Linked DNA regions of Caenorhabditis elegans. The protein of the gene in region 1 interacts with the protein of each later gene in a pairwise test. Each region holds a gene or a part of one and is shown in the gene's direction. Other genes may lie near its edges.

Region 1 (7,154 bases):
GGATAAGTGTCATTTGATGAGAAATGGAGTTGTATTAACAATATTCCTAGTCTTCGAGTACTATTTATAGGAAATTAGTCTAATTTTAGGTTTTATAGTTTTTTCAGTTTTTTCAGTTTTTTTTCATTAAAAAAATAGGAGTGGGTACACAAAAAAGTCCGTTTTCTTGTCTAGAAAAATTTGCTCAAGTTTGAAATTCTCTAGATATATATTGTAGGAAGAAATTGACTACAAAATGATGACTATATTTTGTCGACACTGTGTGCAGGAATAACAGTTTTATCATAAACATCAGCTGCCGAAACGTTGATTTGCATATTCTTCGATGCACCGGTTACTTCGAGGCACCGGTTTTTAAACTATGCTAGAATTCTGTGATCGATTTGAAATTGATGTCACTGTTGAAGTTGCACTACATTATGTATGTACTCAATTTTTTGATAGTGAATATAGGCCACTTTCAGACCCTTTTGGCTTTTTAGATTTTGAGCTTTTGCGACTAAACATCATAAGTAGGGAATGGTCAACAGTCAAAAAATGATGGTATTATTTTTTTTCAAGTTTTTGAAAACCTTTACTTTGCGTATCATGGATCATCAAAAAATGAAAAGATACATATCTGAATTTCAAAAAAAAAACTTTAAAACTATAAAGCCCTGTGAAGCATCAAAAAATAGACGAGAAAACTTTTCGGACCACCACAATGTACGTGCACTTCCAACAACAAAGCAACAATTCAATTTGACCTCCGACAACGCATTTTCGTGTTTTCTTCCGGTGCTTTTCAAAAAACGAAAACACAAAACAACTCAAAGGCATTTTTAAGAAGTGTTGCAATTTTCTGCTCAAAAAATTCGATTTTGTTTACAATTGATAGAAGGGAATAAATGTGCATTCCGTGTCAAAATGCAATAAAATTGTGGTGAAGAAGGAGAAGTTCGTGTGAGGCAGAGAAGAAGATGTTTTGTAAAAGTAGAAAAGAGTCAAAGAAGCAACAGAATATTGATGACAGCGTTTTTTGAACTACAAGCAAAGTTCGTTGAAAAAAGGATCCCCTTGACTCTAAAGTAGACTCTCATCAAAAGATCAAAATGTCATGATTTTCAAGGGATTAGTTTATACATAGTTGTCACTTTCAATAGTACAGTAATCCCTTTATGAGATTTTACTGGAAGAAATTTTGAAAGAGAAAATGGGAAGGCCACCCAGAAAAGTATTCGAAAAGGCTTCTCCTTTTCTCCCGCGCTAAACGGATTTTCATCTGTGGTTGTGCATGGTGCACATTTTGGAAGAGATAGATGGGCGGAAAGGACCGGGAAAATTAGAAAGTGAAAGGAAAATGAGAGAAGGTTCTAGATATACTCAGTGTTTCCTGCAGATTTCCTAGTCATATTTATCATGTTCAAGTTTTAGGACGAGGGAAGCTGTGAATGAGTAGCACAAAAAATCAAAAATAAGATTTTTGAATTCAGATTTCAAGCCGAGATGGTACACTCTGACATCACATGAATTTCGTAAGTAGCATGAATCGTAGAAAGATTTTGAATTATGAATCCCATTTGTAGTTGTTTAGAAAAAACATTTAGTACTGTCCGTACTCTGCAGGGTCACTCAACAAATGGTGAAGAAACTTCAGTGGGGGGTTTTGTCAAAATATGCTCAAAAGGAGTCAAAAAGTTGAAATACTTACAGAAAACAATATTTTCATTCAAAATACCAATTTTGGCAAATTGCCAATTTTTTAATGAATTCTTTGTAAAAAAAAATTGAAAAAATAGGCTGGATGCAAGACTGAAAATTAAAGTACCTCTCAAAACTCAGAAATGACAAAAAAAAACAAATATATAACTAGAAATTCTGCCCAATAAATATAGAAGTGAATAAATTAAATGCATTAGTTACGGAAGTATAATATTGGCCTTGGAAATGGCATCTAAACAGTTCCGGAAACTTGATCCGCATATTTTCATAAGTGTCCTCACAAATCTCGAAAAACAAAACAATAGAAAGGAAAATTGAATGGCAGAAGAGAAGGGAGGGAAAGAATCTCAAACATAAATATTCAATCGTGTTAATGTGTCAAAGGATGACCAAATGGCTAGAGATGGTGGAGAAGGAGAAGTGTGTTATTGTAGAAGGGCAATTAGTGCACACAGAAGGAAAATGAATTGAGGAGGAGGTGATGGAAAAGAGAACACATGGCGCAAAAAGCAATGAGCATGTGGGATTAGGTGGGAAGAATGCGCGGAAATGTATCGAACACGGTAAACAATAAGAAAAAAGAAGTGACGTTGAAGGAAATATTTGGAGAAAATGAATACAGAAGTTTTCATAGCAAAAAAGACTTTTTCGAGATTTTTTACTTGGCAAAATAATACAGTATTGTGCATTCGAGGAAAAACTTGGTACTAGGTAATACGTTCTATTTCCGAGCAACTTAGAATCTTCAATTTAATACATTCCAATTTTTTCACAAATTAATTGATGCAATTAACAGATTAGTTAACTTTGCGACAACCCATCACTACGTAAGACAGAAATTTTTACCTTTGCAAAAATTCATGTAAAATATTTTATCTAAAAATCCTAAAACACACGTTGCCGTAAAGTGTTAAACCTATTCTTTGAATATATGCACAAAAGCGCATCGGTGGTGGGCTTCGGATTAGATGAATTAGGTTTAATTTCATTTTCACAGACCTTCCACCCGGAAGCCCTAATTAAATTGGTAGGTTTAGATATTACTTATTTGTATATCAAACCTAAAATATATGCTAATACATCATAGAAGTTTGAGAGGTCTTGAAGTTAGAAGTACTTTGACTTTCAAGTAAATGGCGTTCGAATAGAGAGCTAGACTTCTTCTTCTTCTTCTTTAGCTCAAATTACAATGCCTACTTATTCCTCATCTTTAGGACCGCCCGTATGCACATTCACATAGAAATAAATACGTGTGCTCAAGGACATGAGCAAAACAGGAAACTTATGCGAGTAAGTATTCGGAGAGCCCGCGGAGGAGCAAACCAAAACGATTCCGCAACTATGAAATGTTTTGAGGATTAGTGGATTAGTAAAACAAAAGTTAGAATTGTTTTGTTTCTGTTCTTTTTTGTTTATTCGAAATGAAAATGTGGGAAACAAGTACATGACCCCGGTGACAAGAAATTCGTAGTATTGGAACTCCAATTATTATATATCCATTTCGTATTGTACAAGTTATGTATAAAGAGTTTCTCCTCGTTTCGGCTTCGAGACATTACAAAAAGAAAAGAGGACATATGTCCCTAGACATTGGATTTCTGGAAAGTCTGCAATTTTCAGCAGTATTTCCCCTTTATCGCCCATTCGATAATTAATCCTGGATTTTTAAACATCAAATTAACAAACTTGTAAAATTTGGCACTTGAAGAAACCACTATGACTGAGATCGTGGCGAGACCCACTAGAAACAGTCAGTTTGCGCCTTTAAACTGCCTAGCCAAAGTTGCGCGAAATTATGATGTATTTTTGATGCATGTGCGTAAATATTTGGGGTCTAAAATGTATTAGCTAGATGTAGGTTGATTTTCAGTTTTTTCAAATTGTAGTTTCACTAAGGGAAGCTTCTTTCAAGCTTCAGAAGGAGACCCGAAGAACTCGGGGGATGTCCAATTGGGGGGATTACCAACTCGGGGGATTTGCCCCGCCCACAGAACCGTGGCTTGCAATACGCCCATTTCTGCAACTGCCGCACGGTTTTAAAATCATTTTTTCTTGTTAATCCTCGCTCTATTGATAAAAATACAGTTTTAAAACCGTGCGGCAGTTGCAGAAATGGGCGTATTGCAAGCCACGGTTCTGTGGGCGGGGCCAATCCCCCGAGTTAGTAATCCCCCCAGTTGGACATCCCCCGAGTTCTTCGGGTCTCTTTAGAAGCTTACTGTATTGGATACCGTAGTTTCTGCAATATGTCGTAATGGTGACTGCAGAGCCGTCGGAAAATGTTTTAAAACTTTTTTTTTTTTTGAAATTTCAGAATATAGAAAACCTTAAATTAAAACAATCTTCCCTCGAAGCTATTCTATAGATTTTCTTCTTTATTTATTTAATAATTTCTGAAATCAAGTTTCAAATAATTTCTCAACCGTTTTTTCCCTATTCGGCTTGTCAACAAGTGAAATATATTGAATTTGAATAAAAATGCAAATGTCAACGCCAGAGAGTGTTCTTTTTCTCTACTTTTTCGATAAATCTTTTTCTCATATGTATAAATTCGGTTTGATCTCGATCTCGAGCGCCTCCGCCGCTACAAGGAGCGCACTTTTTCTGTTTTGTAGGCCACCGCGTGTCGTCTTGCATCACAATCCTCCTTTTTTCGAATGATTTCTATCTGTTTCTCTTCTATTTCATCCGTCTGTTACGCAATATATCCGTGACTTTGCCGGTTTTCCATTAAACACTGTCCATTTTCAGGTTATTACACCCATACTGATATGTCGGCTAAAGCTGTCAGCGAACTCTCAGGAAAAGAGGTATGAAGCTTTATTTTTTATTCGATTGATTTACAAAAACAATTGCAGGTTTTGTACAAATATTTCGAGTCGACCGGAATTGTCAGTGCCCCACATGCTTTTCACGTGAAGGCCGGAGATAAGTTTTCTGACGTCGCCGCCAAGTACGAATGGCTTGCACAAGACAACAAGGGTGTTATCAAGCCGGATCAGCTTATCAAGCGTCGTGGAAAGCTCGGTCTTGTTAAGATTGGGTCTCCTAAAGAGCTGGAAGCTTGGTTCGGCAAGACGGCAAACAGTTATGTGAAAGTTGGCCAAACGGAGGGAAGATTGCACACGTTTATTGTTGAGCCGTTTTGTGCTCATACTGAAAATGAAGAAATGTACATCGCGATCTACAGCGAACGCTGTCGCGATGTTATTATGTTCTATGAGCAGGGAGGAGTTGATATTGGAGACGTCGAGGAAAAGGTTTGTAGTAGGTAATTATTTCTCAAAAATTTTCATATTTTCAGGCCAGATCAGTCCATGTTCCAGTTCAACTTGATGACAATGCTATGTCAATTTCGGAGAGAGAACTAGGCGTGCTTCTCGGGCCATGTAGTGATAAGGATGATATCCGAAAGTTCGTTCGCAGCTTATACGAAGCCTACAAAGCTCTTCACTTCACATACTTGGAGATCAATCCGTTTGTTCTCACCAATGGCAAGATTCATATTTTGGACTTGGCTGCAAAGCTTGACGAGACTGCCAGTTTTCTGTGCTCGGATAAATGGAGCGGTCGGAATGCTTCTGCACGAATCGCTCCGACTCTGGAGTTCCCGGCACCATTTGGACGTGATTTGACTTCGGAGGAGCAATACATTTCTGATATGGATGCGAAGACTGGAGCATCTTTGAAGCTGACTATTCTTAACAGAAAGGGACGCGTATGGACCATGGTGGCTGGTGGAGGAGCATCAGTTGTGTTTACCGATACTGTTTGTGATCTTGGAGGATCATCTGAACTTGCTAACTACGGAGAATATTCTGGAGATCCATCGGAAGCTCAAACTTACGAGTACGCCAAGACTATTTTATCCGTCATGACAGAAGGTGCTCCACGTCCTGATGGTAAGGTTCTCATCATTGGTGGATCCATTGCTAACTTCACAAATGTCGCAAAAACATTCGGAGGAATCGTTCGTGCGTTCGAAACTTTCATTGATAAGCTCAAGGAACATAATGTTTCCATCTACGTTCGACGTGGTGGTCCGAACTACCAAGAAGGACTGCGACGTGTCAAGGATGCTGCCACAAAACTAGAAATTCCGATTTATGTATTTGGACCGGAAACTCATATGACTGCAATTGTCGGAGCTGCGCTCGGATTGAAGCCAATGCCAACAGTCCCGACGGCTCCTCAAACCACCGGACAATTTTTGTTGAGCCCAGAAAGAAACGTATGTTCTAATTATTCATAGGAAATAATTTAGTTTTTGTTTTCAGACTGCAGGCACGGAACGTCCTCCAGCATCTCCAGCTCCGAACACTTCCACAATCGAACATCCTCTCGCCAAGAGGCACCCTCTTCATCAAAGCTTGTTCGAGAACGACACAAAGGCTATCATTTGGGGACAACAACACAAAGCTATTCAAGGAATGCTTGATTTCGATTTTGTTTGCAGAAGACACTCCCCATCAGTCGTCGCTTCAACCTATCCGTTCACTGGAGACAACAAGCAAAAGTATTATTTCGGACAGAAAGAAATCCTTATTCCTGCTTACAAATCTATGGCAAAAGCTTTCGCGAGTCATCCAGATGCCACTGTCATGGTCACGTTCGCGTCGATGCGTTCAGTTTTTGAAACTGTTCTGGAGGCTCTTCAATTTACACAAATCAAGGTTATCGCAATTATTGCCGAAGGAGTTCCAGAAAATCAAACAAGAAAATTGCTTAAAATTGCTGAAGATAAGGGTGTTACCTTAATTGGTCCTGCTACTGTTGGAGGAATCAAGCCAGGATGTTTCAAGATCGGAAATACCGGAGGAATGATGGATAATATTCTTGCTTCGAAACTTTATCGTCCTGGAAGTGTCGCTTACGTGTCCCGCTCAGGAGGAATGTCGAACGAGCTCAACAACATTATTTCACAGAATACCAACGGAGTTTACGAAGGAATTGCTATCGGAGGGGATCGCTATCCAGGAAGTACGTACACCGACCACGTTATGAGATATCAACACGATGATCGTGTTAAGATGATTGTCCTCCTTGGAGAAGTTGGAGGTATAGAAGAATATCGTATTGTCGAGCTATTGAAAGAAAAGAAAATCACGAAGCCTCTCATTGCTTGGTGCATTGGAACATGTGCAGATCACATTACTTCAGAAGTTCAGTTCGGTCATGCTGGAGCTTCTGCAAATGGACAAGGAGAAACTGCTGCATGCAAAAATACAGCTCTTCGTACTGCTGGTGCTTTGGTTCCAGATTCGTTTGACGACCTCGGAAACAAGATTCGTCAGACTTATGAAGAATTGCTTCGACTTGAAATCATCGTTCCACAGCCGGAAGTTCCACCACCTGCAGTTCCAATGGACTATGCCTGGGCTCGGGAACTCGGGCTTATTCGCAAACCAGCTTCCTTCATGACCTCTATTTGTGACGAACGCGGAGAAGAATTG
Region 2 (7,154 bases), on another chromosome or scaffold:
CCGTGATAAGCATATAGGCTGAATCCTTAGAATTTCGAACATAGACCGTAGATGCATATAGAGCAAAAAATCTGGAAACATTTTTGTTTTTTTAATGCAAGAGAGAAAAAAGATTCACTTTCTTTGAAAAAACATTAAAATGAAGGAATAAATATTACCGATCGAAAGTTAAAGCCGAAAGAAGCCCAGTTGACATAACACTAGTAAATGCGTAAATAGTTTGATCATATGTACATTCAGGACTGTGAAATTCAATTTTACACGGATCCTCTGAATTTATAAATATGTGAACCAAATGTCTTATCTAAAAAAAAATTCAACGTTTTCTGAGATCAAAATGAGATCAAAATTTTACCCTAATTTCAAGGAATATTAATTGATTCAAGTTTGCATTTAATAACGTAATCATAAGAAGAATCTGTGAACCTTTTGAATAAACATTATGATTTTTGAGAACTCTAGCTGCCTTGAAACTCAGATAAAATGTTAGAAAAATCAAAATAAATACGAATACAAAGTTGATTTTCATCCAGATAGAGTTTTGTGATTTGAAAATTCCGTCTGATGTACATCTCCATGTTTCAAGTTCTTCTGCTGTTTGATTAGTGTACATTGCCATTTTAACTGCAAATATATCAAGTTTTGGTGCAGTTGTAGATTTGGCAGGGGGAACAAATAATAATAATACTAAGAGTTGTGTTGATGAAAACTGAAGCCTTCCGGAATTTGTGTTTGGCAATATTGCTTATTGCATTATTTCCCAAACTAGAAGCCAGATACCATGAGAAAAAGATCAATTTGACCAAACTCTTAGAAACATGTTTAATGAAATGTATAGGTTTCAAAAACAAAATCAGTTCTCGTTTTCAAAATAAAAATTGGCAAATTGGTGGGTGTAAACAATAAGTATAGGTTGTTATAAGTAGAACATTTTAAGAGTTGGGGAATAAATTGGTAGTTTGTTAAACATTGTATTAATACTTTAATTTCTGAGTAGTGTTAGATAGATTCAGTGCACGTCGAAATACTTTTGGTCTTTGGTGATTTTTAATGTCATTTGAAAATAAAATTACTCAAAAACTAATAATTCAAGCTAACAAGTTTCAACTAACCGTTATAAGCCGGCAAACTTTTTAAAAGTTAACTCTAATCCAAAAACTGATCAGGTTGTATGTATGTGCCTAGTTTGAATTATAACTTTTAAATATATTTGAATTTAAAATTAAGCATTTTGGTATCAAAAACCTTATAAAAGGTTCGAAAATACAGTTGAAAATTATAGTGAAAAATTGAAAAAAAAAATTCGTCGGATTTTAAAAATTAGTGGCTCTGCAACTATAGCAAAAAACCAAATCAGATTTAAAGGGGTGGTGCTTGTCAGGTCAGAATGTTTTTATCGGTTTTTGGAATTAAATTACAGCAGCAATCGGAATATAAAACACATGTTTTTTGAAGGTCAGAGAATATTATGAAACGTTGGTAAAAACATATTCAGTTTGAAATGTCAACTTATTTTGCTAATAGCTACAAAAGCTAAGCGAGTATCCAATTTTAGAAAACTAAAAACTAAATGAGTTTTTGTAAAATTCTACTTTAGTTCTAGCAGCTTCTAATTTGTGTCCGAATTTCCAACTAAAATTCTGAATAAAATATTGCGTCAAAAATTAGTATTGCACAGACGACTCCCAGAAAAAATACTACAGTTTGTTTTTATCAATAAATATCAAAATAATCTTCACAAATAACATAATTCCCGCACTAATCAATTATCTCCAAAAATATTAGGTCTCTTTTCAAGGTGAGAACGGAAACATTCGCGGATATTGTTGAAGTTTTGCATACAGAATACATGTGTCACTTGCTCATTCGGTACAGTTCCTTGTGCTGCACAGTATGGAAGACATGCCGGAAGAACGTTACTGAAATAAAAAAATAAATATCTACATTAAATAAAGTGAATACTTTTTCTTGCAACACTCTGTATGATCGGCTCTTGAAGATGCACAATCCCACATCAACTGCACAGTCTGATTTTTTGGACCACATGTGTTCAAATAGTGAAGCATCTAAATATATATTACATTTTTGAATTGAAATACTGATTCTTACATTTCCTTGGTGAATGGCTTCAAAATCACAGAACCTCTTTTTGCACATTTTGTCAGCGGTTTTCTGTCGAGCACAGCATGCCTTCAGCTTCTGATTGGCATCTCGTCTTGCAAGGCATCTGAGATATATTGTAATGATACAAAGGGATATTTTGAAGAATTGGATTGATAATTTCAAAAAGTTTTGTAAATTTTTCCCTTGACGATTTCTGTAGCTCAGCCAAATTTTTCAATTGGAGAATCTTTTGAACTAGATGATCTAGATTCCACTAGATGTTTTAGATGCTTCGGAAACTTTTTATTGTGTCAAAGTTTTAATTTAAAATAAAACTTTTTTCATATAAACTTACATAACGAATAGTAGACAGAAAAAGAAGACGCACGTTCGCATTGTACTGCGAAAATAAAAATGGTACGATTATAACAGTACCACCTCGAGTATCATCTATGTCCCGCCCATTATTTGAGTGTCCTCAAATTTGCATAGCATTGTTGTAAAACCATGTCACAAGTGGGATACTTTACAAAGTATATGTTAAAAATTGACAGCGAACACTAATGTTCTGAACAACATAGAATTAAATAAAAATCTAGCAAGTTCAATATCACGATAATCCAATATATCCCTGTTTGTAAAAACTAATGTTAGCTGAACTTTCATCTTATTGAAGACAGTGTACAAGTGGTGGATATCCATTGTCTTTTTTCATTTTCAACGGGAATTTTCATTGAGATTTCCACAAAATGATGGCTAATTGATAAGGGCAAAACGAGAAATCGTAGGAAGAAAAGTGATAAGAAGCGACGCCTTCGAGGCTTATTCTATCTTTTTCGTCTTCTCATTTTTGTGGAAAGAATCAACAATGAAGCTTCTTCTGTTAGCTGTTTGTGTCATCGGTTAGTTTTTCGATTGTTTCGTTGATTTATCCCTAAATTTAGCTCTAAATGGTAAAGGAAATATTTATCTAATTGGGTTAAAATATGTTCAAATTTGTTTTAAAAAATATTAAGAAAAATACATAACTAATTTATTTGACATATCCAAAACTTCTTAGTCATAACAATTTTACCCAATATGAATTCTGCTTGTACGTCAATAAATTGAAACGTTCTATAAATAACCAAATTTCGATTCTCATATTTTCTTCGTCTTGCACGAAATCGCAAAAAAAACCAGTCCAGAAAAATTGCTTCTATATAATTTTCAGTTGATCAATATATTTGACTTCAAAATTCAATTAATTTCAACATTTCAGGATTCGTTGCATGTTATGAAGTTGTACCGAGAGCAAGTGCTTTAAGACCGAGAGGAGATGTTCGAAGGTTTAACATTTATTCCATTTTTTCTTTAATCTATTCTTCAGATCACCCCTCCCATCATTATCGGCATATGCTCCTTTTGCTAAATCTCTTCGTCCAGCTTCTACAGGAATCCGACGTGCTCCAGCAGTTGTTACACTTCCAGCTCAAAAAGCTAATCGTTCAGTGAAAAGAGCTCCAGCTAAACCACTTCCAATGACACTTCCACTTCTTCCACCACTTCTTCCACTTCCACAATTCATTCCAGTACCTGTACCAGTCCTGTCTGCAGAAGGCCTTCCAACTCTTCCAACTCTTGCTCCACATACTTTCCCAACTTTCACTCCAATTCCTGGAATGCCAACAATGCCTGCATTGACAATGCCACCAAGTTTCCAACGTCTTCTTGGAATCACAACTACAACTATGAAACCAGCTGAAAAAGCTATGGAAACTGTTCAAACTGAAGAATCTGATAATGACACAACGTCCGAAGCTAGAGCTCATAGGTGAATTACTCAAATCAGGAGAAAATAATCTAATATTAATTAATTTCAGCGCCCCAACATACAGCAAAGATCTGAATACAATTCGTTCAAGACTTTCAAAGTTTGTAAGAGGAAGTGAAAAGAAAGTGACAAAAGCAGAAGACAACGCTGATTGGATTGTTCCATTCCATTGATCTCATCAAAATATAATAATTTTAATTAATAATAAATAATTTAATTAATTTAATAAATATACCCGCGTGACATCGTTTGAATTCGTTTTACACAGAAAAAAATCAGAAAATAAAAAGTGAAAAGAGAAACTGAATCAGTTTCAAATATTTCCTTGTCGACAGTTGCTTTCATCTTCGCATCAATCTATTCGGGGTAAGTTAATATTCAGACTGCAAAAAATCAAGCCACCTAGGGGACTCGAACCCCTGACCTTAAGATTAAAAGTCTCACGCTCTACCAACTGAGCTAAGGAGGCCAGCGAGTGCGCTGGGTCCAAAGGCATAGACGCTCGACTAGTTACAGGAGACGCGAGAGTGGGTTGCTGTGAGATAGACACGTACTATTTACAGATGGCAACCAACAACAATAGTTTTCATGTAAAAGGAAAAGAAGAAGTACAATTCGAACGGAAAAATGTGGTTGTAGCATGTGATGTGGTCAATGGAAAGGTAAATAAAGAATCCAACACAGGGCTCGCGTCGAGAGCCGAATAAAACTTCAAAAGCCCTGATGTGTAGAACAGTAGAACACTCTTTAATAAATAAGAAGTCCGGTTGCAATTTCCTTCGAGGCTGTAAAAAGACTCATTTTCAATTCAAAAATCGAAGAGATCTTGAATAATCACATTGCAGATTACATATGTGGATGTGAGTAGCCAACTGATGGGTGTTCTATTTGCTGGTGATGAGATTCTGAATGTCAATGGAGAAACTGTAAGGAATATTTTAAGATTTTCCGTTTCAACTAATCAAACATTTCCAGAACATCAAGACAACTGCTGACTTTATCCGTGCAATTAGTGCAAAACTTCCCGGAAAAGTGACAATTGAATTCATGCGAGACGATCATTGCCTTGTCACTGAAAAACCAATGCCACCACGTCGTCCAAATACTCAAATGGTTGAGTTGACTTTCACTTATCGTGGAGGTGCTGCAACAGGGATTATCATTCATAGAGTTAGTAATCAGGGACAATTTATACTTTCATGGATGATTTACAGATGGCAGTTGATCCAAAAACTGTGACTATTTCAATGGTTCAATCGGCTTCCAATGCGTGTCACTATGTCAAGGATGGAGATATTCTTGTTAAAGTTAATGACATTTATGTTCTTGATCGTGACTCTGCTAGAAAGGTATTGTAGTATTTTTCTTATTTTATTTTAGTAATTAACTTACTTTCAGCTTCTCTACGCGAGTGTCAACAACACAAAAACGGTCCGTCTTACATTGGAAAGATCCACAACTACTGATCCACTTGGTCCTGCTCCACCGCCTCCCGATGGTGCACAGAGCACACCTGCTGGAGTGAAGAAATCTGGAAATTCAGTGATGCTTCCTCCTCCAAAACCACCCCAAGGAAAAGCCAACAAGCAGTTTGATGTGGTCAGTTTGAACCCATTTCCTCTTATCATTTCATTTACCAAAACATGTTTTTATTTTCTTCTTTGCAGCTTCTTCCTCCTGATGTTTTGGAGATTATGAAGGCAAACAAAGATTTCTACAAGAAACCGTGCAAGAATCCTCCATGCATCATCAAAACAACCGCCGCATCAGCCCCTGCTCCAGTTCCAGCCACCTTGCCATCGGATCCTGCCCCAGAAGTTCGCATCCCGTACATTCCGTCTCCGAAGCCCCTGAAAATGACTCCAAAACGTGTGGGATCTTAACTTGAGAAAAGTGTTCGAAATAAAGTTTTCAAAAAGTGTTTGTTTGGTTGTTTACCGTTCTATCCATCCCTAACCTATGCCTAGAGACACAAATATTTACGGTCCTTCAACCTGTGATTTGAAAAAGGCAGGCCTAATTCTATTTATTGTTGAATGCCAGATTGGTTTCTCCTCGAAACCCTCATGAATCTAAAACCTACAGCTTTTACACATTATTTGAAACATTTCTAGTCTCACATCATCGTCCGTTTTTTCTTGCTCCTAGTTGTCTCACAGAGTTGCAAATGTTCATCTAGCAAACGTCTGCGTCTCTATGTCCTACTCACTATTTCCACTAGTTTTTCTTCCTGTCTCTCACTGTGCACGGACAGAGAGACGTACGAGACGGCCGGTGCTGCTTGGTACCGACTCTGTGCGTCTGGTTGTCCGTGTCCGTGTCCGCCCGCCGCTCTCACTCGCCAAAATATGACTGAGAATTGGAAAAAGGCAATGGATGAGAGTGTGTATCTGTCATTTCTGGATGCATACTGGCTCTCATTTTCACTTGATTCGGAGGGATATAGGCCATTTTAACCTAGTCATTCAATATACTCTCTCATTAGTTTACGTTCACTTGTTTGGAAATCCCATTAATTTAGATTTCAATTTTGAATTGCTAGCATTTTGAATCATTAGTTTTTAGCAAAGCTTCACAGTTCCAGAGACTGAGAAAAAACCCTCCATTTCAATACATCCAACTAAACTTAGCAACTAGATCTAAGTTTAAATAAAGAATACCGTACTATCAGCTGTAACACAGAGTTTACTAGGATTTATGAAGGATTTATGACTTCAACGGTAGACAGGCACGGCTTTTAGGCGCCTGTGACATACATTCATGCCCATTGCCTATTTTCTAAATTTAGCTGCGAACTAAAGTAAGGAACATGCTTGAAATTAAATTCCGATATAAAAAAGATTCGCGTTCACTCTAGTAGGCAAGCGTAGGCAACCTCAAAATACCTATAGGCAAGATGAAATTTTCTTACCGAACCACACATGGTTTGATTGCATCTTGGTATTTTTTGGCATTGAGAATGCCAATTCATATTTTAAAAACATGTTTATTCACTTCTACACAATTGTTTTCTTTTTCGTGAAAATTCTAGAACATCTGTTTCATAATTCTTCAGTAGAACAACAATTTCGAAACCAACAACCGTCAACCTACTTTAATCATTCCATGACTCAATAACCCCCTTTCTCCAATCCGTTCTCCCATTTCTTTCTGCCCTTTAGCACCCATTCGTCTGCATTGGATTGACCCATTGTCTGCATCTATCTCTGAATCTCTACAATATCAGTACTATTACAAT

The links. The genes of interacting proteins can lie anywhere in the genome.
Region 2: the proteins of acly-2 (region 1) and mpz-3 interact in a two-hybrid assay, tested with the Caenorhabditis elegans proteins (one large-scale study listed by BioGRID).

The regions. Positions count from the first base shown.
Region 1 is NC_003283.11:13,112,036-13,119,189, forward strand, and holds the start of acly-2 (ATP-citrate synthase), read left to right. Parts: upstream 1-4,452; 5' UTR 4,453-4,472; coding exon 4,473-4,511; intron 4,512-4,559; coding exon 4,560-4,961; intron 4,962-5,005; coding exon 5,006-5,932; intron 5,933-5,978; coding exon 5,979-7,154.
Region 2 is NC_003280.10:6,562,479-6,569,632, reverse strand, and holds mpz-3 (PDZ domain-containing protein), read left to right. Parts: upstream 1-4,236; 5' UTR 4,237-4,282; intron 4,283-4,312; exon of another isoform or gene 4,313-4,385; intron 4,386-4,479; coding exon 4,480-4,578; intron 4,579-4,761; coding exon 4,762-4,842; intron 4,843-4,891; coding exon 4,892-5,086; intron 5,087-5,130; coding exon 5,131-5,265; intron 5,266-5,314; coding exon 5,315-5,515; intron 5,516-5,583; coding exon 5,584-5,799; 3' UTR 5,800-5,839; downstream 5,840-7,154. Other genes in the region: sra-27 (Serpentine receptor class alpha-27), read right to left, coding at 1-71, 159-304, 356-619; dbd-6 (DB domain-containing protein), read right to left, coding at 1,763-1,919, 1,963-2,066, 2,110-2,227, 2,459-2,499; F18C5.5 (Vegetative cell wall protein gp1-like), read left to right, coding at 2,972-3,005, 3,365-3,431, 3,473-3,916, 3,966-4,089.